4 linked regions of the Astyanax mexicanus genome follow. The protein of the gene in region 1 purifies or fractionates together with the protein of each later gene. This does not show direct contact. Links are inferred from orthologs where the notes say so. Each region holds a gene or a part of one and is shown in the gene's direction. Other genes may lie near its edges.

Region 1 (7,697 bases):
TATGACTTACTATCTTATAATTGTAACTTACTGTCTCATAATTATTTACATAGCAATCACTTCCTATATCCTAATGAAGTTTCTAATAATTATGACCATGATATCTCATAATTGTGATTTAGTGATGATGTGAATTGTGATTATGACTTAATATTGTATAATTATGACGTATTATCTCATAATAATGACTACCACAAATATGAGTTACAATCTCATAATTCTGAGTTACTGTATCATAATATTGGCATACTTTCTTATAATTACAACTTACTATTTTATAATAATGACGTAATGGCTGATAATAAATACTTGCTATCACATATTAATCACTAGGTATCTAATAATCATAACTTACTACCACACAATTTTATTTTGATTTACTATGTCATAAATATGACTTACTATCTTATAATTGTAACTTACTATATGTCATAATTATTTACATAACAATGACTTACTATATCATAATGAATTAGTTTCTAATAATTATAACTTACTATAACTTACTATTATTATGATTATAACTTATCTCATTATTATTACTAACTCATTAAAACAACTTAATTCTAACCTAATATCTTAAAATAATGCCTTAAAATCTTAAAATAATGCCTTAATAATGACTGAGTACCTAATAATTATGACTTAATATCTTATAATAATGACTTGGTCTTTCATAATAATGACTTACTACCACAAATATGACAAATATGACTGTGTCATAATAATAGCATACTTTCTAATAATATATCCCATCATAATGGGATATTATCCTGATTATGACTTACTCATAATCTCATAATAATGACTGAGGACCTAATAATTATGACTTAATATCTTATAATAATGGCAAAAGAATGTGTCACTGTTTAAATATGTGTCACGCATGCACTGTATTATATTAATGCCTCTGGTTAAATTGAATAAATGTGAATGTAAAGGATCGGAGAACAGTAATGAAAGTGTAATTTCTGTACGAGACGGACACCCTTTACTGCCATGCTGTTTCTGGTTGCCATGGAAACGCTTGAGCAGTGCCTTCAATCCTAATTTGGCATGTCTTGTCCACACAAACACACACACACACACACACACACTCACGGTCCTAGTAAATACGGGTCATTTGGTCGGGATGCTGAGAACCCTGATTGGAATCGCACTGCCTCTAATTACATGCTGCTTTTGTGTAGCACCTGGAAACAGAGGCAGCACTTCCTGATGGATCGGTTCTGTTCTCCCGGGCTTTAATTCACTGACCCGGCCTCGCGGGCACAGCATGAAAGGAAATCAATCCTCTAATCAATTTTTTTAAATGGCTGTTGGGCTTTTGAGACACAGTTGGTGTTAATGCAGTTTTCACATGGGGTTCATACTGAAAATCTGACCTGATGTCATATTTCTGATCCAGGGATTTTATGGCATTATTACAGAGCATTAGTGTTGAACAACAGTACGGGGTCTCACTGTCCTGTTTTTTTCTGTTTTAAAATCACCTGCATATTACACATCTCTTTTAGGAAGTGAGCATGGCTTCAACAGGCCAGTATAGTATCTGTACCCCCTTCTTTAATGGCCACGCTTTTGTAAGAATGTGTGCAGCATGTGGTTTTACATTGTTGATCTCAATGCACTTTTCTGCATTAAAAAATAAGAGACCACTTCAGTTTCTGAATCAGTTTCTCTGATTTTGCTATTTATAGGTTTATGTTTGAGTCAAATGAACATTGTTGTTTTATTCTATAAACTACAGACAACATTTCTCCCAAATTCCAAATATAAATATTGTCATTTAGAGCATTTATTTGCAGAAAATGAGAAATGACAAGAAACCAGTTCATATTCATAAAGTTTTAAGAGTTCAGAAATCAATATTTGGTGGAATAACCCTGGTTTTTAATCACAGGTTTTTTCATGCATCTTGGCATCATGTTGTCCTCCACCAGTCTTACACACTGCTTTTGGATAACTTTATGCTGATTTACTCCTGGTGCAAAAAATTCAAGCAGTTCAGTTTGGTGGTTTGATGGCTTGTGATCATCCATCTTCCTCTTGATTATATTCCAGAGGTTTTTAATTTGGTAAAATCAAAGAAACTCATCATTTTTAAGTGCTCTCTTATTTTTTCCGGAGCTGTATTATACTTTTTTTTAATTATTAGTTATAATAGGTTAGAACAGGTCTATGCTCTATACAAAACACGATCATGAAGTTCTTTGCACAAAATCACTCTCACATAAAGATAAAGAGATCTCACCAGCTTTATTCTTACCAGTTTCAGTCCCTTTTAGAATGAGCCATGTTTACGCTGATTGTTTACCACACATTATAGTTAGCTTGTGCTAAACAGCAAAACATGGGACCTATTTTAATGATCTATAGCGCATAGTGATCTATAGGACGTGTTTGTGTGTCTTTGGTATCGTGAGGGCACAAAAAATACGCCTTTCGTGGTTCGAAACTGTCAAAAGGCATGAACAAATTCTCTTAATTAATCATGGGTGGGTTTTGGGCGTAATGTGAAATAGACCAATCAGTGTGTCAGTTGTCATTCCCATTAAGAGGCAGGTGAGCTCTGACTTTGGCGTGTTCGTATCTTATCAGAGGATACTGACCTGCGTGTTCACAGGTCATTAATTGACTGTTGTCAGGGTTTAATCAGTCAGTGGAGCTCCTTTTCCACCTCCAAGATAGAAACGGTGTGGGCACAGCGGACGGTAGGTTCAGATCCCTCCCTCAGACCGAAATTGTGTTTCTTTAACTGATCTAGTGAGTGGGTAGATCGGTGAGGGGTGGAGCCAGGGTGGTTCTATGCTGGTTTCATTATTGTGACGTCAGCCACCCAAACAGCTCATAGAAGCAAATGATTCCTGACCCAAACTCTTTCAGCTGATTCACAGAAAACGAATGGCTGGATTTTTTTGGTGATTGGAGTGTTTATAGTGTTTATAGGGGCTGTTGTGACCCAAATGAAAATATAAAAGCATGCAAAAAGTAAATTTTACATAATATGCTGCTTCATCCATACAATGACAGATACTAGCATCTGGATGGTATCAATTTCTAAAAATAAAAATAAAAATAAATAAATACTGATTAATCTGAACAAACACACGTTTATGCACTGAAAAATCTCCCAATTCTTTAAATGGTTTAATGATATTATATTATGGGCTGCAAAGGGAGAAATGTGCAGTTTGCTGGCGGTGCATTTGTGAAAGTGAGCCGTCAGCAGTTTTTGATTGTCTTGCTAAAAGTCACACTGTCTGAAACCGAGGGGACAACTTCCTGTGGTGGGTTGTGGTAAACTGAGTGGAGGGTTCCAGATTACAGTGCACAGTCCATACATATGTTATATAGTTTAAGACTTAGTCAAACATCATATATTATAGATTCATATAAGACTGTAAAGGTTAATTTAATTGATATTGTCATATGTAAAGTTAACTATACAGCATTGTATACTGAAACTATCAGCAATAATTAACACAAGATCGCTTAACACGTAACATTTGTTTCATTAGTACTCATGCTGAATTCCATTTTAATTCAGATCTGGAAATTCCAAGTTCCCAGGAGGGAATTTTAGCTGGAATTCTTCACCCATGTCAGATTTCCTACTCAGACCAAATGAAATGACTGGATACACAGTAATATAGAAGTTGAATAAAACAAGAAGAACCAATTCAACTCAGGATTTCATGATTTGATTTTAACTCATGCATTCAATGTTAGCCAAATTCCACCCAAACTGGAAAAAAAGAATGAGTATAATTATTATTGTTATTTATATTATATTTGCTGCACTTTAATGAATTTAACATGTTAAAGCTCACTTTTAAGGCTTTAGTATATTTACCATTAAATCAGCTCATATAGTACCAGTCGAAAATTTAGACACATATTCTTGTTCAACCTTTTTTTGTATTGCTGTATTTAATTTATTAAAGTTGGAGCATAGAGTAAAGAAAAAGCAGTTATAAAGAGGCAGCATCTCTAGAACAGTTGGAAGTTTCCATTCCAGGTTCTACCTCATAAAACTAACTGATAGAATCAGCCAAGAGTGGACAAAGTTGGCATCAAAGCAAAAGGTCCAATCTTATCTTAAAGATTTTAATCTATAATCTATAATATTTAATATTAAACATATTTTGGTGTGTTTTGACTTTTTTGTTCATTTCATAACTGCATATCGTCACTGTCCAATGCAAAACAAATATCTCCAAAACAGCAACGTCTAAACTTTCATTGGATGTCAATGTAAAAATATTGTTTTCCATTTTAAAGTATTTCTATTGGTCCATTCATCAAGAATGGATCAATAGATGTAATCTAATCTAAACTATCCATCGTGTTTCAGGCTCTATAATATCCTGATTACTATTTAAAATCTATATTCAACACACTTTTACAACTTTTTTTAAACTTCAAATGTAAATCCCGCCCAAAAATATACCTTTAAATGTATCGACCAATAGCAACAACATGGGAAACGCGCAATTCGAAATAGCATCCGTCTGTCCAATCAGAGGAGCGGATTTCAGTATTCGAGGCATACACCAATTGTACGCCGACTTGTGCGTCTGCGCAAATCGGCGGGGCGGGGTTTTGAGGGGCGGGCCCGGATTGTAGCCTATGAGCTCCCGAGGTTGATGTTTAAACCTTTGCGCATGGGCGGGGCTAAGTGCCTGGGGCAGGATCTGAGGCTCAGGCGGTGTGCTTAAAATTAATCAACAGCCCAGCACTGGGGTTAGCGGCTCCCTGTAGCTTATACTGTTTAATATATTTATAAATATATTTATATATATTCAGAATTTAACTGAAAATTGTGTATAATTCACTAGTTTCGGGGACTAGTTACCAACAGGGCTCATCTTCTACTGAAATGAAAGCGGGCGGTAAGTGATTCAGATGAGTTTATCTGAGTTATGTTGATACAGTTAGCTTAGGTTAGCTAGCGTTAGCACTGATTCAGCTCCAATGCCTAGTGTTATTTAGTCAAACTGCCTATTTATGTATTTGTTTATATTTTCAAAAACATATTTCTGTTAATGTGGGTTGCTGATAACTCTGTTTAAGGTCTGATTTTGTTTAGCTAACATTATATTGTAGGTTACAGATAACATACAAGTAACCTAGGTTAGGTAGTTAACGTTAACTAGCTAGCTAAGGACTCAAAACTCAAACAGAAACAGCCAAGAATATAAAAATAATGACTTTAAATAAAGCTTTAGCTTACTCAAATCTTTTAAAACAATATACTAATCAATATAATCGCAAATATAGTTAACCTACTAGTTATAGCTTCTCAACCAGGAAGCTAAGCTATAGGTTAACCTTACGTTAGCTGTTGGTGGTTTAAATAAGTAAATATATCCCACATCATATAAAGACTTTTACTTGTATGAAATTTTCTTAAAATCTATCGAAATCTAATACTATAACCAAATTAAATTAATCATTTTAAATATAATGATTGCTAATGCTTCACAACTCTTTAGCCCTAGTTTTTAAGGAGGGACTTTTCAAATGATGTAAGCTAACTATAGCTTAGCTAGCTAACTAAGTTATAGCTGCCGCTGGTTCATATAATTACAGGCTGTATAAATGTGTTTTAAGTAGTTAAATCATATGATTTTCTTATTATTAAAGTGGGCTAAGGAATACTAAGTTAATTATGCAGCTTCATAGCTAAGTAAGTTAGCTATAACTGTTGTTGGTTTATCCAGGCTAAGTGACTATGTTTAAATATGTGGCTAAATATCTCTCATCATATGAAAATTCGGTTAAGTAGATGAGCATTTTAAGTGATATAAAGATAGTTAGCTAATGCTTTAAAACACTGTAGCCCTAGTTTTTTGTAAGGATGGACTTTTCAAATGATCTAAGCAACAGTTTGTTAGTTAACCTAGCTAACTTAGCTAGCTAAGGACCCAAAACCCAGCCAGGAACTTCCAAATAATACCAATAATTACCATTTTAAATATAACTTGAGCTAACTCAAATGTTTTTTAACAATATAACCTACTAGAATATGTAGTTATTAGTTATATCTTCGTATGGCTAGGGAGATGTAATTAACAGGCTATGTGACTGTGTGACTTTAAGAAGCTGAACTAAATAACGTTATATCTTGCATAATATTAAAGCTTCTAAGCAACATTTTATGAAATAACCCCAAGTAGGGTATTTGTTAGTTTAGCTGTCATTGAGTCTCCTTTAGAATTCATAACCAGCTGATTATTTTAAATATAATAATAAGTAATACTTTAAAACTCTTAAGCCCTAGATTTTAAGGAGGGAACTAAGTAGCTTAGCTTGCTAGCTATCTAGGAGAGCCAGTTATAGCTCACTAAAGCTGTTGGTATCTTACTAAATACAGGCAGTGTAAATGTGTTTTAAGTCGTTAAGTCATATGCTTTTCTTATTGTTAAAATATAATAATGTATAATAGTTTTTTTTAAGTAGCTTCATAGCTAGTTAACTACTTTCATATATTTATATGAAATAAACAAGAGTATTTCTTAGTTTAGCTATGGAGTCGCTCCAGAATTTATAAATAGCTACTAATTTTTAATATAATAACTAATGCTTTAAAAGTCTCTAGGCCTTGTTTTTAAGGAGGGACTTTTCATATGACTTCCGATTATATAACTTAGTTAAACTAACTAACAAACACTTTTCACACATACAGGCTAGCTATCTAGAACTATAACTGGTGGTTCATCCAGTTGGTAACTATGATTTGTGTTAGTTATCATCCATCATCATTGCTAAATTTTCTTCGTTATCAATAAAGTAACATTATCTGTATATCTGTCTGTCCATGATGCTAGGGCAAAACTAACACTCTGGATTTCATGTTAATGCTATTTCCCTACACTTCTATTATGTGTTTTATTTTGTATATTCATCTTGATATATATATATTTTGCTCTTATTTTACTTTCATTCTATTATATATTTATTTTGTTAAAAATAGTTTTTTGGGTGGAACTGGATTGTAAGATTACAATTTCGTTCCACCTTATTTACCACATGTGATGTGAGTGACAAAGTTTCCTTGAATGCCTGTAAATCATAGGAGTTCTTTATTGTGACGTCTATTAGGAAGTACTTACAACGTATAAAAACTTGTATTAATTACATTACATTTGGCAGATGCTTTTTTCCAAAAGCGACTTACAGTAGTGAAGTACAAAAGTAATAGATGTTAAAAACATCTTTATATAGGGCCTAAAGGAGGTCAAAGGGAGATAATGGGATAGAGGAGTGAAGGAAGGGAAGTAGTTAAAAGTAGTTAGTTTGTTAATCAAACCTTGCTAACTTGGCTATCATGAAGTCTCTTCAGAAACTTTTTTTTTTTTTTTTTTTAACAGAAGGACTTTTTCTAGTTAGGGAACTAATGTCATATCAAGCTATTACTGCTGATGGTTTACTATGGCAAAACTATTTCAGTTGTATGTAAAAAAAATCTTAATATATGTTTATTAATGTCTAAATCTAATTTTTCTCATTTTTAATTTCCAGTGCTTCACTGTCGGTGCTCTAAATGTTATTCTCTGCCTGCGAGGAAACGGGTCCGAAAGCAGACCCGCTCCCTGACCCTGCTGTCCCTTCCTGAGGAGGTTCTGCTGTATGTTCTGCAGTCCCTCTCCGCCGAGGATCTGCTGGCTGTCCGAGCTGTGAGTGGAGACATG
Region 2 (8,121 bases), on another chromosome or scaffold:
TTTATAAGGAATTATTGTTTACTTTTGTATAAGTTATGTCTCCCAAACTGTATGCACTTCCTTTGCCAAAGTCTTTGTGTCAGTTCATATTACTTATTCTAAACCGTTGTATATTTGTACATAAATTATAACTATCTATATGAATGTAATGTGTATTCAAACATGCATTTATTGACAATATATGAATAAATGTCTCTGTAAAGTGAACAGTATTCCTACCTGTGATACTACCTATCTTCCTTTGAATATTATTTAATAATGAACATTTGAAGATTCAAATAAACCATCATGCTTATGATGTGGTGTCTGTTTCATTTGAGGAAAATAAATTATAGTTGACAACATATAGCAATATGCTACCAAGAATTTGTTCTACAACCTATTTTTGCCATGTAAATTTCCACAAAAATAGGTAAAAATTGTGACAGAAACATCACTTCATGACGTAGTTAGCCTAGAAAATATGTAATGTGAATTTTGTTAAGAAAGGCACCCAGAAAGAAGCGCAAAACAATAAGTTCATTATGCAATCCTACACTGAGCTTTGCTGGATACAGTTACACAACACTCGCTCAGCGCAATCTCCCCATAACACCCAGTAACAAACCTCGTCCAATCACATCACGCCGTTGTGGAGCGGTTAGGGGGCGCGACCAATCAGGAGCGACCTGGGGCCGTGGTGCATTAACTGATTGGTGGATTTTGAACCCGCCCAGCTGCCTTACTGACCGATATTCTCACACGATGAAGGAAAATTTGCGTAAAGATGAAACCGCCAGATGAGGGGAAAAATAACTGACGTAGGTTTCATGTTTTAGCTGCTTAGCGCTACACCCAAAAAATCTATATACGCAGTTTTTAAATAGTTATAATAAATAGATAAAAATAAAAAGCTAAAATATGAAATGAAAGCCATTTGGGATTAAACTGGGACCCGAACAATACCAATACCAAACAACGGTGTCAGCTCGTTTTATTTAATAATTTAAAAATATGTACTAATAAAAATATTTATCTTTTTTTTTAATAAAAAAAAAAAATACAAATAATAAATACATATACATTTATTTTTATTTTTAGCTAAACACTAAAATTATAAATATTGCAGCCCCTGACAGTCAAAACATTTAGCATAAACATGTAAAAAATCTCGATTACATGCAAAGTCAACGTTTTGTACCTACCCACAATGTTTCTTTTCTGAGAGCAGGGGTTATACAAAACCGTGCATAATAAAGATCAGTGGCTTTACATCTACACACTACAGAGACCGCACGCTTCGCTATGCTGTTTACACTAGCAGACTCGTTTCCGAGACAGAAGCAGTGGTGTTATCACTTCAGTCTCTAGATTAGACTAGATTAGCACATTATACGTAATTCCATCACTGTCCTCTGAGAAAAAAAACACATACTGAGGGGAAAAACAAGTCGGACTGGGCTATTCTAACAGGCCTCATCTAAAGTCACAGCGACGCGCGCCCCCTGCTGTTACTGCACCTCTACTACACATGTGCACAACACCTCTTCAACATCACTACACATGCAACTGAACAACTGTTCAGTATGTGCCCGCTAATCTTCTGTTAAGCCAATAGTTGTTGGAACACTGATGTGAGGACTTGATTAGAGCAGTGGTGAAGCCAAGTATTGACTCTAGTTTTCTAAAGGGAATTTTATCCCTCAGCTGGTTCCAGTAGTTAAATGTGCCTTTACACCATTCTTATTCCACCAGCAAATCTATTCTATGGAGAATGCACAAGTGTATGTGTATTTTACAGCAGCAAAAGTCACTTAGTAGGAGTGTCTTGATCATTATGTACTTGTTATTATGAAAAATGTTAAGAACTACTGCTAAGGTCCAGGCCCTCTGCTCAGCAGCCAATCTCCATCGAGGGGGTCAATGTGGAAGTGGTCAAGTCCTACAGATACCTTGGTGTGCACCTGGACGATAGGCTGGACTGGTCAGTGAACACTGACTCCCTCTACAGGAAGGCCCAGAGCAGACTGTACTTCCTCAGAAGGCTTGGGTCCTTTAACATCTGCCAGAAACTCCTGCTGATGTTCTACCAGTCTGTGGTAGCCAGCGTCCTCTTTTACACTGTTGTGTGTTGGGGAGGCAGCATCAGCAAGAGGGATGCTGGACGACTGAACAGGCTGGTGAGGAAAGCTGGTTCTGTGTTGGGACTAGAGTTGGAGTCCTTAACACCACTGGCAGAGAGGAGAGCCCTCAGCAAGCTGCTGAACATCATGGACAATGTTCACCACCCTCTGCACAGCACCATCACCAGGCAGAGGAGCTCATTCAGCGGCAGACTGCTGTCCCAGTCCTGCTCCACAGACAGACTTCGAAAGTCTTTTGTCCCTCAGGCCATAAGACTGTTCAACTCCTCTCAGCACAGCAAACTGAAGACTCTGTGACACCTTTTCTTTCCAGCAATTCTGGCCACACCATGGACATACCCCCATCTATGGTCACACTATCTTGCTGATGCCCATAACACTATTTTTATAGTTCTACCCTATTTTGCACTAGTAGTTCATTCACTAGTTCATTCATCTACTGTTTACGTATCTTTTGCACTGCTAAATTTAAATTATTATATAACTGTGTTTGCACTTTCTGTATGGCGGACATCAGTTATCCTTATACTTACTTTATGCACATCAACTGGTGTTCGCTGTCTATTGTGTTCAACTGCACTACCTCCATTTTACATCACACACACACACTAAAGACTGTACTTTTATAATTTCATTTTATTTTTTATTTTGTTGTATTTATATGTATCATTTATATATTTTTTTATCTTTTTGTAACTTTGTGTACTATACACACCTGCTGCTGGATGTCAAGAATTTCCCCTCGGGGATCAATAAAGTATCTATCTATCTATCTATCTATCTATCTATCTATCTATCTATCTATCTATCTATCTATCTATCTATCTATCTATCTATCTATCTATCTATCTATCTATCTATCTATCTATCTATCTATCTATCTATCTATCTATCTATTTGGTTTAAACAACACATGGTCTGCAAATGTTTCCCTCTTCAAGGTATAGAGCAATATAAACTAAACAAGATTAATATAAGATTGAATGGGTATAAGAACAAAACTGTTTATTTGTGAGTTGAGGGTATTCATATTGTATTATTTTTTTTATTTACTGAGATGGAATGAGTAGATGTGTTAATGATTCAACAAAAGTGACATACAAATCTGACCTTAAGGATGTTCTATGGCTAAATGCAATCAGATCCTTACAACCAAAAAATCTAACATAAAGCCTTCTTAAAAGAGTATATGTTCTTACTGAAGTGAAGAGAACAAATCGGCTATTAACACCCTTATAGACATCTTAACATGTGGTGTCTTTAAAATATTAAAATATGAAATTTTTTCGGTAGTGCCCAGCCCTGGAAAAGCAGTTACTGTAAATTTCACTGTGATTTTGCTAGACTGTAGTTGTTGTTCTCATTATTTTATATTTCCGATACAGCAATCATCTTTTCTAAATAGAATGATCTTAAGCTCTAAAATAAAAAAGTCTTTTTGCTTTTAATACTAATAAATTACCAGAAGTGGGCCCTGAACATTTTTACAATTCAAGTTAAAAGACTGTATTTTTTCAAAGCATAATAAATTTATTTCTACACACAGAAATGTGTGTGGTACATAAACTACTATTTTCACTGTTGCATGCTCTCTAAATATTTGCTGCTTTGTGTCTGACCCCATCTCTCTAGGTTTCTTGAGATTTTATTTAAAGCAACTGATCCCAGGAAGAGATGATCATATGCTAACATATGCTAGTTTTACTCAGAGAGACTTTAATACTTTTACTCTGATACATTTTTATGTGCTGCACTGTTACTCGTTACAGTTCTAAAAATGTTACAAATTGTTCCAAACCCACACTATCACTAAAGCTACAGGGGTAGATGGTAATGTTACTGGGTATCAAGCAATCAAGGAAATCTTATTCAAAGACTGTGCTTCTCCCGTTCTGCTTTTCGCTTAGCAAAGTTCACAGCTTTCTGTAAGAATTACATAACACAGTACTGTACTTTTAACTACTTGCAAAAATTACTTTAGTACTTCTACTTAAGTGTGGAGCTTAAAGAACATTTATACTCAAGTCTGTTTTTTGATATAGAACTTGTAGTGTTACCTAAGTCTGGGTCTCTAGTTCTTTATTTTAGTACGAATATTTTTCTGATACTACTGCAGTTCAGTTTGTTGTCTCAGTACTTGTAGTTTTGACCAGCTGATTTTGTGGTTTTACTCTTTTTTTGCTTGAATTCCACATACAGTCGAGACATTATTTTACTGAGGTGGCATTACACATCAAAATACAGCTCTGGAAAATTTTAAGAGACCACTTATTAATGATGAGCTTCTTTGATTTTACCAAATTGAAAACCTCTGGAATATAATCAAGAGTAAGATGGATGAGCACAAGTCATCAAACCAAACTGAACTGCTTGAATTTTTTCTACCAAGAGTGGCACAAAGTTGTCTAAAAGCAGTGTGTAGGACTGGTGTTGGAGAACAGGCCAAGATGCAAGAAAACTGAAAAAAAAAAAAAAAAAAAAAGGGTTATTCTGCCAAATATTGATTTCTGAACTTGTTTTCTTTGCATTATTTGAGGTCTGAAAGATCTGCATATTTTTGTTATTTCAGCCATTTCTCATTTTCTGTAAATAAATGCTCCATTTTTATTTGGGATTTGGGAACTTTTGTCTGTAGTTTTTAGAAAAAAAAAATAATTCAAATATATACCTATAAATAAATAGCAATATCAGAGAAACCGATGTGGTCTCTTACTTTTCCAGAGCTGTATTTTTCAGTGTAAGGGTTAGTGTACTCTCCACACCTGTTTAAACACAACTTCATGTGTAACTCTTCCTCTGTTTGGCTCTTTTTTGCTCTGCTGCGTGTGAAACCTCCTCCCTGCAGAGGGCGGTACTCGGTACACAGCGCACTTTATCCTTTTGTTTGTGTTGCTGGGCTGGGGAACAGCTGTGGTGATGTTTGGATTAAACAAAGAATGTGTGTTTTTAGGGGATTTATGAAGAAATCGTGTAGCTACGGTACCTTCAGCTCAATGAGTGTCTCCGCTGTGACTGTTGTGTAAGGTTGTCAGTGGCGCTGTGTTAACTTGTAAACAGGAGCAGTGGCTCTGTGTTGGTGAATCGCGGGCTTTAGCTAACCCGGCTAAAGCTTAGCTCAGGGTAGTTGTGTAGTCGTTGGCTTGTTTTATCTTGTTTTTTTTAAATATAGGGCCAGCTCCTGTAACACTATAAAGATTAAAACTCTTCTGTTCAATAGTGCGGCTTTAATGTACAGTGACAGCGCAGAATCACATTTTATAAACGCTCTATAATTAGGTTAAACTAGCTACTGCAGGAAGGCTAGCTTCGCGTCCGCGCCAAATAACATTATTATTCTTCGGACATTTCTATCTTATCTCGCGTAAATAACTTAGTCCGGCAACTACTAAACACTAAGAGTTAATAAATAGCGAGTTAACCTGTTTTCACTGAACTGTTCTAATCAGTACTGTGTGTTGTGTTAGATCTGCTGTATTATGTTTTTCTTACCAATCTGGCGGGAATTCGCGAACCAGGAATGTTTTGTCATCACATAAGAAAAGCAATTTATAAAAAAAAGACAATACACTGAATTATCCTATTTCCCCTCATTTATGATTACAGTGCATGTCTGCAGCTACTGATCGTTTTTGTTATATATATTTAGTACTATATCACTTCATAACCCAGTGTATGTGTGACCTACATTTATAGCCTGCATCCATACTTGGATTTCCTTTACGTTTTTTTTTTAACGTATAAGCACATTTACGATTAAAAATGTAACTCTGTATATTTAAGGTGCATGTCTCTCTAGCTGCTGATTTATGTGTGTCTATATTATTTCATAACCCAGTGAGCGTGATTCGTCCGCTTGTTATAACCCAGCTAACTAACTACATCCGTACAGTGAACTTCCTTATGTGGGGGTTTTAAACGTGTACCAAGATTAAAACACAAAATAAAACACAGATTTCCCCAAATGTTATGTTAAGTTATGTTTAAGGTGCATACATGTCTCTATTTATGTATTAAGTAACTTAAGTCCATAACCCAGTGTGTGATTCTTCCTGTGTTTATACAGCCATACTTTTACTTCCGCATCCACGTTGTAAAACGTATAAATAAGTACGTTTACGAAATGCTATTAACTATATGCTGTTTTGCACACGTGTGTTTATTACTGATCGGTAGATAAACTGGATAGTTTAGATATTTAACCTATAATGCGCTTTTCGCGTAGAACAATGACAGGGAGTTGCAGCATGATTTTTAAAATACATATATATGTAGCGTTAAGATGTAAGCTAGGTTATGGTGTTGCATTATAAATTTCTAGCGTATTTATATGTGTTTATTTGTCGATGTGAGCGCGTTTAATGTCAGTTTAAGGTTATATTAAGGTTATATTTTTTATCCGAAAGCGCGCCTTTTTTACACAATCAAATTTTACTGCCGTGTTTGTGAAAAGGAACACACACCCGGCGCGTTTGAAAGTTCCCGCGATCTGCAGCTGACGCCTCCGCTGCTGATTGGCTGGTGACAACAAAAAAAATTAAATGACCTCCGGGAGCTCTGCTCCTATTGGCTGAGCCGGATCGAGCGCCAAGAACTGAATAAAAAGGGAGCAGCGAGAGACTCTCCTCATTTTAGTTTCTTCTCTGCGCTTTAGGCTGTCGCTTGCTTAGTCTCTGCTTTTATTTTACTTAGATCACTTTTTACGTTTTTAGTTTTCCTTATTTTACTGCTAGAACAACGTTTTCTTCTTTTCCCCCCCTTTTTTTTATCTCAGAACTACACAATGCTGTCCACTCGCTCTCCTCTCAAATCCAAGCATGAAAACGCTGTTTCTGCTAAAATGGGCTCCATGGGGCTGGTTGACAAAGAGAACACGGTAAGAACGGGTTTAATTATTGAGCTAATACTATTTATTTATTTTTTTCCCCCTTTTTTTTATGTTTTCAGTTCATGTGTTAATATTTTTGTTAATGGCACGCTGGGGATACACCGGGCTGTGTGTGTGCGTACAGTTAGAGTGTTCTAAAAGACCTGTTATTGATGCAGTAAATATCAACTAATGCAGTTAATTTTAATCTAATATAAGTTACCTGTCTTTGCTCTATAGCCACCAAGTCTGAACACGACCAGAATCCTGGCTTCCAAAACGGCGCGTAAAATCTTCGATGACTCTGAGGTGAGTAAACTTTCCAACCTGAGGCATTTTTAGCTAACGCTAGCACGCAACAGTTAACCTACAGTTAACTAGCTTCTGTGTGTATTGTGACCCAGCAGCAATATTACACAATTCACTTGTTGGTTAAAGGTTTAAAATAATTATCTTGTTGTGCACCGCTGATTTATAGTTAGTTTCATTTGCACAAAAACTGTTTTAACAAAAGCTCCAGCAAGGCTAACCTCCCCCTCCTCATCACCCCCGCCAAACAGCTGACGACGTCCTTTGGCGGCAGAAAGCTAACCCGCTAGTTAGCTTAGTTAGCCTATTGTGTAAACCTGTTCAGGCAGTCCTCTTTTTTTACTTTGTTCAGCCAAACCACACGTTATTTAAAAAAAAAAGTACTGAAGACATCGCCTTTTTAACACCATCATTACCTTCTAAGTTAGTGTTAATTCCATAGCGTGACTACCATAATTTTACCTTTCTAGTCATCTATGGTAGGTTAGTAAGTCAAAGAGTGGCCTTTCTCAAACCTTTTTTTAGTTCGGTTTTTCATTTAAATTAACAAGCATCAGTTTTTGATGATGGTAGCAGAGCAACTTAATCAGTAACTAGCTATTTGCTTTGTTAGTTAAGAGGTGTTTGATACATTTGCTCAAATATATATTAAAGTAGTTTTATCTGTGACTAAGTGTAACTTTTACCTTGAATTATTTGGTTATACAACTTTTAGTGCATGCAAGTGGTTCTGGCTCTGAAGTACCTGATTTGGAGACTTTCCAAATAGTTCTGATTGTATGACTATACAGATGATCTGTAGCTAGATGGCTGTAAACTGCAAGC
Region 3 (7,642 bases), on another chromosome or scaffold:
AGCCAGGTATCTGTCTGCCCAAGAGCATTTCCTAGTGGAAAGACATAGAGAAGATGTTTTCTCATTATGACCACAGTGCTGTGCACACAAAGCAGACCATGAGTTCATTTCCTAGCTTGGTCCAGAAGAAGGAAACTGAACTGAACCTGAAATAGTTTTGAAAGTCTGGGCCCTTCTGGCCAAATGTTTTCACTAAAAATATTCAATATTTCAGTCATAATTAAATGTTTATAAAATCATTTTTCCATCATTGATGTTACTTAAAAACTACATTAGCTTTGCAGACAACATATATAGGACAGGAGGTTTTTATCACCTTCACTGTCAGGGTGTATCAGATTTTGCGTGTTTCTCCACAATTAACCATTTCACCCCAATTTACCCTGAATTACTTTGTTTACAGCTTATCCTTTGAATTATGCATAAAGAATGAAAAACAGGGACTGCTAGTGACTATCAAACATAATCTGGATAATGTTTAAACACTGGTCTTGTAGCCTACAGCTGCAGTTAGTTTTTTTGTGTAGTTCAGCACCACTCTTCCAAGTCAAAAAAAGAGAGCAGATCTGGGTGTGTTGAATGTGTGCTAAACATATTTGATTGTGTCAGTTTTTATTAATGTCATTTCCCTTCTGTCTGTCTTACTGTAGCTGTGATGAGAGGAGCTCCTCCACTGCCACCTGTTGCAAGGTGAAATACACTCAGGAAGTGAGGAACGACTATGAAATTTGAACCCAACTCCACACATTCACATCAGCACACTAATACACCTACCTGTACACTCTCAAAATAAATGTGTTAAAAACAACACATGGCATGCTACTGTTTGAACACACCTGTGTATCCAGATAAAGACTTTTCTGAATCGGTATGCTATCCGATTTAACGATTTAACACTAGCTGTGCATTCAGATGTGTTCAAATAACACAGTTCACACTAAGCGTGTGCCCTACACAATATGTGGTAAAATAGACATAAAACAGAAGTGTGTTCTTATATAGCACATTGTTTTGAGAGAATGCACACTGCAGTTTACCTCAACAAAAATATCTGTCTTGATCTGAATAATTAATTTATAATCAGATGAAGAAAATTAATAGGTCTTACACATCATATTTGTTATAGTAATAAATAATAATAATATAATACAAATAACAAAATAAACTTATATAATGGCAATAGTAATGTAATTTAATATTAACTATGCATTTAAAAAAATGCCAGGGGTGCCCAACATTTATATCTGACCAAATAGACCAAATAGGGAAACTAGATTACTTATGATCCCGTGACCACAACATGGGTTGCTTTTCCAGAATAAGCTAAGACCACAATACACTAAGCAAGATTATTTTTCACTGATGAAACAAATTTGGTGAATTCTCATTGCTGAATCACGTCTGAGAAATCAACCCTGTTTCTGCTCCGACTGGTTCCTAACAAATACCTCCAGACCATAAAACACTATGCAGTTTGATAAAGCGTGAAGCCTATATTGTATTGTGCCTCTAGATGACCCAAGAGAACTATTCTCTATATATGCATTCCTTCTAATGTGACAGCTGCACAATCTTTGCCAGAGATGGGCATCAACTAATGGACCAAGCACTTGTTTTATGCCAATCTATCTCTATCAGAGTGAAAAGAAAAAATAATTAATTAATTAATTAAGTAGACAATCATTACATTATGCGGAAAGTTTTTTTTTTGTTTGTTTTGTTTCATGTTTTTGCGCCTTAGAATCATAAAGTAATTCTTTGTTACTGTATCATAGACTGTTCCTCCCAAATGAGAGCTAATGTGTCAAGTATATTAGGGAAGATTGTGTGATTTTATTTTTTGTGATTATTTTGCCAATAGTAGGGGCTATATAGTAAATGTTATTGTTTATTTTTAGCCCTGTGTCTTTTGATAGAATCGTTCATTCCATTTGGATTTCATCTCTGAACAATCTGAGTGTTGTTTAGTACAGGAACGTGGAGCAGCCATTCCTTTGCCTTTCCTGCTGTGAGCGGCAAATACGTTGCAATGCATTTGAATTTTGTCTGTAAAGAAGGGAAATCTGATACCTTGATTTGTATGTGTTAAACTTACCTGATTCCTAACCACTCTTCTTTAGTACTGACCAAATATCCTAAGTGCCACTCAGCACACAGTGTATGCAGTAGGCCCTGACATTTTTGAGGGTCTGCTCATGGTGCAACATGTGCTGTAAAATCAGCATCATATTCCTTTATTATTAATTAAAACCTTATGAATTTCTCTGGAAGAAAGATGTCATTCACAGATTTAACTGGTACCAATGTTTTTTTTTCTTTCTTTTTTTCCTTTTCTTTTTGTTAAATAAAACACTAGTGTAATAATTAAGAAAATGAATTGTAATAATGTATATTACACTATATAAAATGTAGTTAAAGATTTTTATTGTAAAGTTTTGTAATACAGAGAATTAAACCTCTATAACAGTAAAACGTTTATTATGAGGAGACCATTTCCTATCTGGTCTTTTTCCGGAGAGCGTTTATCCGTATGTAGCCTCTAAGTGGCCAGAGGTGGGTTTTCTTCTTGGACTGTTGCAAGAACCTCTTTTGTCTCCTTCTTGGCCTGTTGCAATTTTATGTGACTTTGGTAAACAGTTCTAAGCTGCCAAAATGAGCAGTTTGTAACAGTAGACTGGCTATTGTGTTGAATTTGAAAATAAAGGTTATGGGAAGTATGTGTGGTTTCATTTGATTCACTTATTATTATTATTATTAGTAGTAGTAGTAGTAATAGTAGGAGTAGTTTACTTAAAATGTAACTGATTCTATGTATGTACAGGATCTTGCATATTTGAGAATATTCAATGTTGACACTTATCTATTGAGTATTTTATATATATATATATATATATATATATATATATATATATATATATATATATATATATATATATATATTCTAATACTCAAAAGGTAGTTATTATTAATTGAGATGCATTGCTTGTTTAAGTGATCATAACTCAGTGCTAACTTTAACAATAGTGATAATGTTTCGGGTTTCGTTTTTTTTTTTTTAAGAAGAATTAGTTTGGGATTAAGTCCTGGATAAACTGAAAACAGCACAATTCTGCACTGTAATATTTTTTTTCATTATTAAATTATATAAATATATTATTTAAAGAGATGTTGTTTTTCTATCTTAAACTGTTGCAAGAACCTTTTTTTCTCCATGTCTCCATTGTGTTGCAATTGTATGTAACTTTGGTAAACAAACTGGTAAACAAGGTGATTAAAGGGGCACTAAATCCCCTGATTTCTACTCCACCCTCAGTTTAAATTAATGGAATTATATTACATTAATAGAAAAATATAGTTTAGGGTTTAGTGGCTCTTTAACATGTCCAGCATTAGCTCACAATAGCAGAAATGTTAGCATCTACACTGCCTACAAAACGCTTAATGTAGGAAATGAAAAGGAAAATTCTTCATTCATCTGTCCAAAATTACACTTTGCCGTTTAGCTCCATTAACCCCAATTCATTAAGGACTCCCGGGTACCCTCTAGCGGTTTGCAGTCATTTTCTGATAGCACGGGAGATACTATTGGATATAGGAGGTGGGTAGTAACTACAGTACTGTGAGTTACATATTCAGTAACTTACGTCACACTAATACTATCGGGTACTATACATATATTAATATTAATAGTGCACAATTGACGGGGTAGTGCACACATTTAAAAGGTGATTTAACAATTTACCACATGTGAACAAAAGACACACACAACCCCCCTTCTAAATAACCACAACAAAGGGGAAAGGCGGCCGAAGAGCATATTGGGGGCTCAACAGCTTGTAAGACACCCACCTACATACTCTGATCTACCACACCAGCCTCCAGTTTACATTAGTTCAGATGATTATAAAATCACTGCAACGCTAACTTTACGTGGATATTGTTACAAATGCAGTACTGCCTTTGTGAATTTATAAAATCAATCTATCAATCTATCGAAACTGTGTTTCCATTGTATTGACTATAATGGCTTATTTGGAAATGTAGACTATGAATGTAAACTACTTAAATCGATTCTGGCCAGAATTATTATTCTTTTTAATCTTTAATTTTTTGTCTCCTTGGTCTTTTTGTCTCATTTGGTGGCTAAACAGTTTGCGCCTGTGGACAGAAGATTTGTTACACGACTATTGTGAATAAATACACGTTTTCTAAAGCGAAAAGTAAAGGATTATACGTTTTTTTTAGCAGAAATTCGCGTGGATGTTACTTCAGCAGCAGAGCATACTAAATATATTACACTCAGTTCTTAATGTTACGGATGTAACGAAGATTTCCCGGGAAAAAAAAATCCGCGAAAGTGTCAACAATGAAAACACCCGCCAACAGTGTTCAGGCTCCAGTAGACGGTGGCGATTGAGCGATTTGATTGGCTGTTCGCGGGCTTTGGCACTAAGCCAACCAATAGGGTTGCAGTGCGTAGACGCTGTCATAGGGTGGTGGGAGGTTCCAGCTGATCCTAAAAGACCCCGATTAGCTGAAGCGCGCCAGAGGAGAGACTGCTGACAGTGGAGCTGCGGGTGAGAGACTTCCTGAGGAAAAACAGAAGATTATTAAACATTTTATACAGGTAAGACTAAGATTTACTCGCAGTGTTACTGATATTTAATGTAGTGAAGAGCAGTTTATCAGAAATGGCGTTTAAACGCAGCGTTTTAATGCTTAGTTGTGGGTTGCTTGAGGTGGGGAGAACTTGGCGCCAAGTAGGAAACCTAGTTTACTAACCATTCAGCTGTGAATCAGGGGGCTTTTTAAGTTAGAATCGCTTTAATAATGTCTTATTTAACCTAGAAATCATTAGATATTAATATTCACATGTCGATTGTTTTTTTTTAGGCAGACATATGTGTGGGTGTAGGTGTTTTAACTATGTTTAGTGGCGGATCTGGGTTAAGCTAGTTAAACTAGCGTTAGCTATTTGTCTATAATATGTTTGCTAGCTAACTAACAACTTGCAAGCCAGCCACTGATCTGCGAAAAACCTAAAAAAATAACAAATGAAAATGCAGCTAGGCTTGATTAACGAACTAATAAGTTAGCAACACAAGTATAATAATTCTACCTAGCTACCCCCCCCCCCCCCCCCATGCTGTAGTGTTATCTGTTGGCGCTAACTTTCTCTAATCTTTCACGCTTGTACAAAAAAATAAGGTCTTAAATGCAAAAAGCAGTGTATTAATATTTTAAAATAACATTTCCTGATTTACTGTAAATGTGTACCTCTTTGACCCCCTCCCCCATTTTTCCTTTACTATCTTTTTCTCAAACGTATATTTTATTTTTAACTTATTATTTTTTAGTTAGCTAACTACTATGTATTTTTGAGAATAATGTATTGCCCTATGTTTGGGGATGTCTTCAATGAAAATAAAAAATGTTAAAAAATCTAACCCTAGCGAGTTTTTAGGTGGCAGTGCAGCAATGTTGGTTAGCTACTTAGCTTAGCTAACTTGCAATATAACCAACTGTAGACAACAGAAGCTAGCCTGGCTAACCCACCCCAAAGCTAACTGTAGTAAGAAGTCACATTTTGGTATAATTCTACGTTTAAGTTATTACTAATATCTTAAAAAGGTCGTCCTGCTAAAGAACTACTGTCTGTAACTTAATTAACTTTAAATGTATTTTTTATTTACTGTATTTTTACCTTATGTATTTTTTTTTAGTTTCCCCCTTGATGTTTTGAGAAAAATGTGTTACACTAGGTTTGTGCAAGGACTACTGTCAGGAACTTAATTTTAAAATGCATATGTCTTACTGCATTTTCCCCTGTTTATTTTTCTTTAAGTATTTTTGTAGTTTTCCTCATGATATACAGCTCTGGAAAAAAATAAAACCACTTAATGAGTTTCTTTGATTTTACTAGTTATTCCGCCACATATTGATTTCTAAACTCTTAAAACCTTATGAATATAAACTTGTTTTATTTGCATTATTAGAGGTCAGCTTTGTCTTTTTTGTTATTTCAGCCATTTTTCATTTTCTGCAAATAAATGCTCTAAGTGACAATATTTTTATTTGGAATTTGGGAGAAATATTGTTTGTAGTTTATAGAACAAAACAATAAATGTTCATTTAGCATATTCCTATAAATAGCTAAATCAGAAACTGATTCAGAAACTGAAGTTGTCTTAATTTTTTAAAACGTTTGTCTCTGCAATGAAAAGGTTTTTAAACTCTAGCTATCTTATTGAGGTGGCAGTGATGCAATATTAGCTAGCTAGTTAGCCTACAGTCTACTATAGATGACAAAAGCTAGCTTGGTTAACTCACCCCAAAGCTTATTTTAGTTTAGGTCACTTTTTGTATTAAAAAAGCTAAATTTCACCTTAGTAATGCACTGCTGTGAACAACTTTTAAGCTAGCTAAATTAACATGTTAGTGGTAGCAAAATGTCCTGAATAAACTGTGATAAATAGCACAGTTCTGAATTAAAAATGGCTTTTCTCAACTTAGTGTCACCCCATACACTGGCTTAACATCTACCTAACAATACCTCCCCTTTCCTTTTCCTCCCCCACTTAGAGCTGCAAACTGGTCCTGTTACGAAAATGCCTAGCACTCGTTCCCAGAGTCAGCCAACCCTCCAGTTCCCCAAACGCAAGTCTTCCAGGGTAATCCAAAAGTCCAGCTCCAAGCGTTCGTCTCTGCCTGATACTGAGAATGCAGTTCGAGACCTTCCTTTGTCTCCCAGAAAGCCACACTTGGTGGATGTCCGAACAATCCCACTTTCTCCCAGAAAGACAAACCTGGCAGACCTCCATACCATCGCTCTCTCTCCCAGAAAGACCAGTGCTGATGTCCAAACCTTCCCCCTCTCACCCAGAAACCCAGTGCTCAAAACCAGCTCTTTGGCTGAGAGACTTCCCCTGAGCCCCCGCAAACGCACAGGTATTAATTTTAACTTTAATTCAGAATGTTTTTGTACATTTCTGTGTGAATGTTCTGTGTATGTTTGTTAAAAGGTAACACATATTAATGTTTTATTATGGTCTTTTTGCAGGCGATGAGAACGGATGCAACCTGCCAGCGTCTCTGCAGTGTTCTCCTCCTAAACAGAGGCGCCCCTCTTTGGGCTCCCCCCGCAAACTTTCCTTCAATGAGAATGCTCCAGTCTTCGGCTCTCCTCCTCGTTCTACCCAGTCACCTTCTAAAATCCCCCTCTCGCGTCTTTCTGCTGCTTCTCCCAAACGTTTGCAGACCGTCTGTGCTGATTTAGGGTCACCAGCTAAAGCTGCAGTCTCTCAGCTTTTTGCTGAACAAAGTGAGTTCTGTTTGTTGTGGTGTTTGCTAGATGCATAGGTGTATATTAGATAAACATTTGATTCTGTAATGGTTGCTGGGCTTTTGAAGGGTGATATGACTAATCTAATATCTTGTCTTTTTATGTGTGTTTTTCCTCAACTTTTAGAGTCACACTACCAGAGTGTGAAGCAGTCTCTGCACACAGCTGTGCCTGAACGACTGCTCTCTCGTGAAGCAGAGCGAGCTACCATTGTTTCGTTCCTGGAGAACCATGTGGTGCCTGGCAAGCCCTCCAGCCTGTACATCTCTGGAGCACCAGGGACGGGGAAGACAGCCTGCC
Region 4 (7,486 bases), on another chromosome or scaffold:
AGCAGGCTCTCTCTCTCTCTCTGACTGAACATAACCTGGAATCGGATTCATCTGCTCTCAAAGGAAAACGCATCACACCCACCCAGTTTAAAATGTTTCTTCTGCATGCTCGGTGCAGTTACCCATTCTCACCAGTGAGGGCCCTAAATCCCAAAAATTACAGACATCAGCTTTAAATAGATTTTTTTTTAATTAAAGCTGAGGAAGATGTTTGCCATTCTGATATATGTTTGCAGAAGCATATTAGAATATTAGAACCAGCACAAACCTTTGGAAATACATGACACAGTCAAAAAAAATGTACAGGCCACTGTTTTTAGAATTTATATATTAGACCTTACAGTGAAGGTCACAGAAGCACCTGTATGTCACTCATTAGAATACTTTGTTCATTTTCCACTAAGGAATACTTCTACTTTAAAATACGGTATATTTTTAAAAAATCCTAAGGATTGCTGCTTTAAGCAGTTTTAACACAGTTCACACAGTGCACAAATTCTGAAGAAATACTTTTATTAGTTTGCTTGTTTTTTTATATAGAAAGTTTGTTCTTGAAAAAATAAATACATACGTACATATTTAAACACATCCTCTACGCCGACATCTGAACACAGAATGTAACTGTTTATCAGTCATTTTTACAGAACGTTAACAAAAACAACAAACAAATTTGCAGTTCTACAAAAAATTGAGACAACTTTACAATTTCAGCTCCAACATCGACAACTCAGGGATGTAACTGTGAACAATAGAAAACATCGACTATTTGCTGCCGCTGGTTAGCAGTGCAGTGGAGCGAGAAGTGCTGGCACTGGCATTGGGCCGGACTCTCCTCTGGTCCACTCTAAGACTGCTCTTTTCTTCCAAAACTTCCTTCAACATTTCAACCTGCTTCAGCTGAGCTTGCAAATCCTGCTGCAGCTAGACGGTCCATCCGTATGGAAAAAAAAAAGTTATTTGTGATGAGAGTTTACATATATAACTGCATTCCAAGTTCTTAAAAAAATTAAAACAAAACTCAATGTTCCTCAATGTTTTTTCTTGAGATAGTTATGTTATAAAATTACTGATATCCTGCATTTATCTTATATTTTAGGACATTTACCATCAATGGCATTCCCATTTTTGCTGTTTTTCACTTTTTGATATAATGTACATCTACCAGTAGTTCTTTACTCTGTGTCAGAATTTCATGATGGATGGATCAATATAAAAGACTCAGAATAAAATCTTTTTACACTGACTTTTCACGTGTAAAGTTGCTACTTTGGAGATACACATTTTTGTGGGGTTCAGTGTCCACTCAAACACACAATGTTCATTGATCCAGTCTGCTTTTATCTTAATGTGTCTTTAATACTCTAATGTAAATGAGTTCTGTTTTTATTGGCTGCAGTTATTGCTCCTCAATCAGAAAGCAGCCCATTAAAAACATTACAACATAGTGTGAATGGGTTACATACATTAATATGTAAATGTGCTGGATTTTATAATGTCAAAAAACAATGGGCCTCATTCACAAACCATTCACATCTTCCTAAGAACTTCTTGAATATGTTGAATAAATATCCTAACAAAAAGTCTCAGTCATGTTCACAATATGCTTTTAAAAACTGCTGATTTATTCTTTACAGCGCTGCTCTTATAATAATGAATCCTACTGTGAATGAAAAAGAAAATCCCAAATAAGAAAAAAAGGTGACTGTCAGAATCTTGTTTGAAGCTGTGTAAATTAGATCTTAGAAATACTTTTTTTTCTAAGAAATAAGGCCCAATGAACCCAAGCTGATTTTGCTACTTATTTTCCCTACATATGGTCTGTCTGTTTTAAAGACATATTAATATTTTTATGTACTAAACTAAACAAAATTTTAGTAAAAAGTAAAGGAAAATTCTCCCTTTAAAGTAATGGTATATGAGACTGAGCCGACCATGCTACACTTACCTCAATGATGTTTTTTCTTATAGGTCTGGTTTCAAAGCTGACTTTGGTAGCTTTCACCACGGTGCACTTGCTTAGCATGTAACTGAACAGGTTAAAATAAGTAAATACAATTTTATTTTTTTTTTCCCCAACACTTGGACACCACATTGTACTTATTTAAAAGCCAAAACAAAAACACATCTCACCAATTTAGAACTTCTTTCCGCAAGAGAAAGAGATTTCGCAAGCTGGACCAATGTGTTGGAGTGGAGTGCAGGATGACACCCATGCTGCGATGACAAATACCGCATTCAAGGACTCTGTAAGTGCTTCGTGACAAATAAGAAAAAGAGGACTTTTATTACAAATTTTAAAATAATAAAAACTAAAAATATTTATGCCACATTAGGGGACAGCTTACTTACCAAAAAGCCAGAGGACCCTCTAGACATACCTCAAACTTCCCTCTGACTTTTACGTCCTGAGTGACTTCTGCATGAACACATTTAAAATATTATGTTCATATTGTGTAAAACGGGTTATTTGAAATAAAACACTCCGATTTAATATTTTAACACTATTCTATAAACCGATTGTTAATAGCAATCTTTAAAGCGCAATTCACAGGCTGTGCATGCAAGAAACACTTAAACATCACACAGAAGAAAGAATACTGCATGGAGGAGTAGAAAAAACAGTTGATGTCAGGTTATTCTTTATATGGTTGCTGGAAACGTAATTTAGGTGTCAAATGCGTCTTATCAAACTTATGCACACAGAAGAAAAATAAATGTTGTTTATTCTGGGTGACAAACAGCAGTGCTGATCTGCCCACACACATCCTTGCCTCTCTGTATCTGCTGACTTAAACACGTTGTTTTGTATTTCATTAATCGCGTGGTCTGCTGAGCCTCATGTTCCCACCTGCATTCACAGTTTAAACTGCAGAGCACTGTGGACAGAGGCAATGCACTGACAAGATGCAGAAGATTCAGTTATAGGTTGCCAGGTCTGTATAGTACACTCAGAGGGGGATTGGTAGTTGAATACAGAACCCTCACTGGGGGATTTCTGACAGTAGTCCTAAGGTCTGAAAAGACTCATGTGAGATCATTCAGGAGAGAAGTTGTTGTAATCATAAGGCTCTGTGTGGTCCAGCTGACTAAGGCGCCGTCACTATGATCTGGAGATTGCTGGTTAAAATGTAGTTTGCCATCAGCTACCGGAGCTCTTGCTCTCTCTGGGTGGGTAGATGACACTCTCTCCCCTCATGGTAGGGTGATGTCGATCAGCACAAGGCATCTGTAAGCCGATGTATCGCAAAGAAGTCGCTGCGCTGTCCTCTGAGCATGCTGGTTAATTGGCAATGCTGCATCAGATACAATGGATACAAGAGACCACTTAAAAATGGTGAGTTTCTTTGATTTTACCAAATTAAAAACCTCTGGAAAATAATCAAGAGGAAGATGGATCAAGAAGCCATCAAACCAAACTGAATTGCTTGAATTTTTGCACCAGGAGTAAAGGCATAAAGTTATCCAAAAGCAGTGTGTAAAACTGGTGGAGGAGAACATGCCAAGATGCATAAAACTGTGAAAGAAAAACAGGGTTATTACACAAAATATTGATTTCTGAACTCTTAAAACTTTATGAATATGAACTTGTTTTCTTTGCATCATTTCATGTCTGAAGGCTCTGCTCTTTTTTTTATTATTTCAGCCGTTTCTCATTTTCTAAATGTCTAAATGTCAATATTTTTATTTGGAATTTGGGAGAAATGTTGACTGTAGTTTATATAATAAAACAACAATGTTTATTTTACTCAAACATATACCTATAAATAGCTAAATTACAGTAACTGATTCAGAAACTGAAGTTGTCTCTTGTTTTTTTTTTCTAATGAAATGTTTTCTGACAATTTCTGACAATAAAAGCACTTCAATAACGCAGTTAACTTCTTTACAAATGTTTTATCTCACACTGAAAACAGAAACTTACTCAGGCAAATGATGGATTTGATACTCTTAGCCTCCCCACAGGCGGACAGGGAGTCAGCTATGACCGTGCTGCACTTGGCGCAGTGTAGAACACAGCACCGCTCATAGTCCACCGTGTGCTCCCCCGGCTCCTCCACAGCTCTCAGCTGCTCCACAACTACGCTGCTCTGGGTGCTATCGCAGTCATAGCTGTCCGTTAGGAAACTGGGCTTTCTGTGAGACATTTTCTACACTGGCGAGAATTTACACCGTGCTAAACAACCAAAACACACACAGCTCTCACTCTAACAAACAGTGTGATGATAGACTCCGCCCATGTTCAGGCTACGAACCAATCAGCGCTACAAACATGTTACCGTCTCCAGCGCTCCTAGCCAATCAGGAAACGAGGTGGCAAAATTTGAACTGTGGTTTTCAACCGACGCAGGCGCGTTCTCCCTTCAGTCACCCACCTAAAGAAACGCGTTTGGTTCGGTCTTGGACATACTGCGACCGTTTCTCTCTCTTTTTGTTTGTTTGTATCGTCTACATTGTCTAGATTTGGTCTTGGAGATGGATTTGGACTCCCTCAAATATGGAGACCTGCAGCAGCTCGCCAAAAGCGTTGGTTTGAAAGCTAACATGAAGGTGAGGCCGACATATATGTACGTTAACACTAATTTAGTTAGGGGCAGCTAGCTAACTGAGTTCGTTGTATAGCTTTCCGCTATAGGTTATTTCAGGTCCACCTTAACTGCTGCACGGCGTGGTCTGGCCCACATAAACATACAGTGTAGGTTAATGATGCTAACTGTGCACGTTTTAAGGTAGCAGGCTAGAATTCAAGGTTCAATTCAAGATTCATTAGCTTGCTAGTTAACCTATGTTTAAACTTATCTAACGTATTTAGCTAGGTTGGCTAATCTTTGTTTTTATATGGCTGTTCTAGTTATTAAAAATAAGTAGATTAAGCTATTTATTTAAGGCATATTTATAAGCGCAGACAATTGTTTCTGTGGCTGTGCGATATAAAAGCACTATTGCAATCAATACCAGGATATTTCACGGTGGTTTTGCGATAAATATATTATTGGCAGTATGTCAAAACACTGAAAAAATAATAAATACATTTAATTAAATTCAACAACCTACAGTCGTAACAAAGTACCTGTAAGTTATTATACGTAATACAAATATTATTGGTAGTATGTCAACACTGAATCTACTGCTGTAACAAAATAGATGTTACATGTTAAATTATTAATTACTGTAAGTATAAGGGTTTAAATTATTTAGTTGAAACAAATAGTATGTAAAAACAGTAACTTACCAAGACTTTTAATATAATAGTAGTTATTGTTATTGTTATTATTGTAGCAAAATATACTGCTTTCAAGAATTGTGACATTTATCACAAATGTTTGGTGATGATATTGTGTACCATATGATACGATATGGCACACCCCTAGTTGAGAATATTTAGTGCATGACTATACACTGCAAACGTAAGATTTAATGCTTCTAATACTCCCAAAGCTACAATGTCCCACTGCCACTGCTGATTTATTTATCCCCTTAATACCTTAAGCTAAATGTCTTATTATTCAGCATTAATTCTAATGTAAAATCTGTTGTGGTAGTATATATAAGGTTTATAAAATCTTGTAGTATTGCACAGGGTATTATTTTGGCTCCTAAAATGTATTTTTATCATGGCAGTTATTTAATAAAGAGAGTAAATCAGTGTGAGATTGCTCCTCTTTTTCCCTTCCCTTCCCTTCTCAGATAAATGGAACCAAACCTATCCATGTGTTTTTCTTTTAGGCTGAGAAGTTGCTGAAGGCCCTGAAGCAGCACTTTGAGCAACAAGAGAGCTCAGAGAATGTGAGTCCCCCAATTTCATTACACACCTTTTACAGCCTTTTAAGTTTGTGGTTTTTAGGTTTCAGGTGAAATACAGATATTTAAGCATTTTCCAGTTTGTCACCAGATTTTACCTGTGATATAATGTTCCTTTGGTAGACATGTCATGGAGAGTTTTAAATTCTCTTGGGTCTCCAAGTTTAAAAAAAAAAAAAAAAGTTTAATAAAATCATATATTTGATATTGCACATACTGCAATGCAATGTGACTCTTGTTTTATACAAATAAGTTCTTGTTTTAAAACATAAGTGTGGCTATAAATCTCATATTATAAATGCATTACATCCCTCAGGCAAATAATGTTGATGCTCAGGCAGAGGATGAGGTCAAGTCCTCAAATGTGACCAAGCGCCGCAGGAAGAGTGAAAGCATGAAGAGGAAGCATTCTGACCAGGGCAGTACAGACAATGAGCCCAAAGTGGAAGTGAGCCCAGCCCAGGTAAGTCATATCATTAACAACCTCGGTTATGTTAAAAAACAAACAGTTCATCGTGTTTAAAAAAAAAAATCACCAGAAACATTTAACCATTTTTAGGACAATGCTGAGCTTCATGATGCAGAGCAGGGCAGAAGAAGCTCAAAAAGGAGAAAAGTGTCTTCAACTAAGGGCACAGAGACTCCGGCTGTAGCTGAGGATCCCAAGGAGAGCAAAGCAGACGCAAAACCAAAGTCTGTTAATGTTACTCAGCAGGCTGCTCAAGGTATGCATTTGCCAGTACATTCATTCTAAACATCAAACTTTAATTATGCTGTCTACAGGTAACTCATTTTATATATCCACAGTCTTAACTCCATAGATAATAATTCATATGATTTTATTTGTTTGAATATTTTTGTTATTGTTGTATTATTTCATGAAAGTCATGTCAGTTTAATGTAAAAGGAAATTTACAATCAAACTCATATTTTGATAGTATGTAAAAGATGCGCTTAAGCTTAAAGAGCACTAGTTGAGAGTGAAGGATTTGGGAGCACAGATGCACTCAGTTTTTTGGCTGTGCTAACCGTTTTTGGAAATTATTGGAGGAAAACTGTAAAAAGAGGAATTTGGATTTGCATTTTCTTATGTGAAGAGTTGTTGTTGTTGTTAAATGTGTCTACTACTTTTCTTGAGTGCCTCCTATTTCCTGAATGACACACATACTGGATCTGCTGCTATAACATGTATGAATAGTTTGAATGCTTTTAAGGGTTGTTTTGTTTTCCACAGGTGTGGAAAAGAAGACTGCTGGCAGAATTCCTCGTCATGAGGGTCTGTTGAAGAAGACGAAGGCACCTCTGAGACCGACCACTCCTAGTAAAGTTTAATTTTCTGTCTGTTAGGGTTGGGCAGTATGATGGCATTTATTATTGGGGTAAATTGTAATTGTATGACTTCGGGAATTCAGAAAAACTGCATGTTTTATTGCAGTAAGTGCTTAATTAGACTAATTTAGTTAATTGCACTTGTGCAGGGCTGTATATTATGCTATGGGGCAATTTTAATTATAATTTCACTTAATATCCATCTTTTTCATTGACACTTGTCCAGTTTTAGTTTCCAATGCATTTTTGTGAGATCGACCTGTTATCTGATTTTTATTATTTTATGTAGAGCAAAAATCAGCTACTAATCACATTACTAAATACTAATGCACATGATTGTTAATATTATTGTTTTGTG

What was found.
Region 2: the proteins of ccnf (region 1) and ribonucleoside-diphosphate reductase subunit M2 purify together in Homo sapiens (affinity purification with western blotting; 5 studies listed by BioGRID and IntAct, with this or other methods). This does not show direct contact. The link is inferred for Astyanax mexicanus from reciprocal best matches to the Homo sapiens genes CCNF and RRM2.
Region 3: the proteins of ccnf (region 1) and cdc6 purify together in Homo sapiens (affinity purification with western blotting; 4 studies listed by BioGRID and IntAct, with this or other methods). This does not show direct contact. The link is inferred for Astyanax mexicanus from reciprocal best matches to the Homo sapiens genes CCNF and CDC6.
Region 4: the proteins of ccnf (region 1) and nusap1 purify together in Homo sapiens (affinity purification with mass spectrometry; 3 studies listed by BioGRID, with this or other methods). This does not show direct contact. The link is inferred for Astyanax mexicanus from reciprocal best matches to the Homo sapiens genes CCNF and NUSAP1.

Annotation. Positions count from the first base shown.
Region 1 is NC_064426.1:40,348,408-40,356,104, forward strand, and holds the start of ccnf (cyclin-F), read left to right. Parts: upstream 1-4,687; 5' UTR 4,688-4,882; coding exon 4,883-4,895; intron 4,896-7,527; coding exon 7,528-7,682; intron 7,683-7,697. UniProt on the Homo sapiens protein: Substrate recognition component of a SCF (SKP1-CUL1-F-box protein) E3 ubiquitin-protein ligase complex which mediates the ubiquitination and subsequent proteasomal degradation of target proteins.
Region 2 is NC_064408.1:76,113,353-76,121,473, forward strand, and holds the start of ribonucleoside-diphosphate reductase subunit M2, read left to right. Parts: upstream 1-5,083; 5' UTR 5,084-5,102; intron 5,103-6,894; 5' UTR 6,895-6,903; coding exon 6,904-6,996; intron 6,997-7,227; coding exon 7,228-7,296; intron 7,297-8,121. UniProt on the Homo sapiens protein: Provides the precursors necessary for DNA synthesis. Catalyzes the biosynthesis of deoxyribonucleotides from the corresponding ribonucleotides. Inhibits Wnt signaling.
Region 3 is NC_064423.1:17,209,244-17,216,885, reverse strand, and holds the start of cdc6 (cell division control protein 6 homolog), read left to right. Parts: upstream 1-4,481; 5' UTR 4,482-4,627; intron 4,628-6,582; 5' UTR 6,583-6,608; coding exon 6,609-6,948; intron 6,949-7,060; coding exon 7,061-7,321; intron 7,322-7,468; coding exon 7,469-7,642. Other genes in the region: wipf2a (WAS/WASL-interacting protein family member 2), read left to right, coding at 651-694. UniProt on the Homo sapiens protein: Involved in the initiation of DNA replication. Also participates in checkpoint controls that ensure DNA replication is completed before mitosis is initiated.
Region 4 is NC_064414.1:7,790,407-7,797,892, forward strand, and holds the start of nusap1 (nucleolar and spindle-associated protein 1), read left to right. Parts: upstream 1-4,327; 5' UTR 4,328-4,473; coding exon 4,474-4,548; intron 4,549-5,724; coding exon 5,725-5,784; intron 5,785-6,115; coding exon 6,116-6,262; intron 6,263-6,358; coding exon 6,359-6,524; intron 6,525-7,033; coding exon 7,034-7,120; intron 7,121-7,486. Other genes in the region: oip5 (protein Mis18-beta), read right to left, coding at 763-921, 1,946-2,027, 2,131-2,253, 2,350-2,416, 3,923-4,145. UniProt on the Homo sapiens protein: Microtubule-associated protein with the capacity to bundle and stabilize microtubules. May associate with chromosomes and promote the organization of mitotic spindle microtubules around them.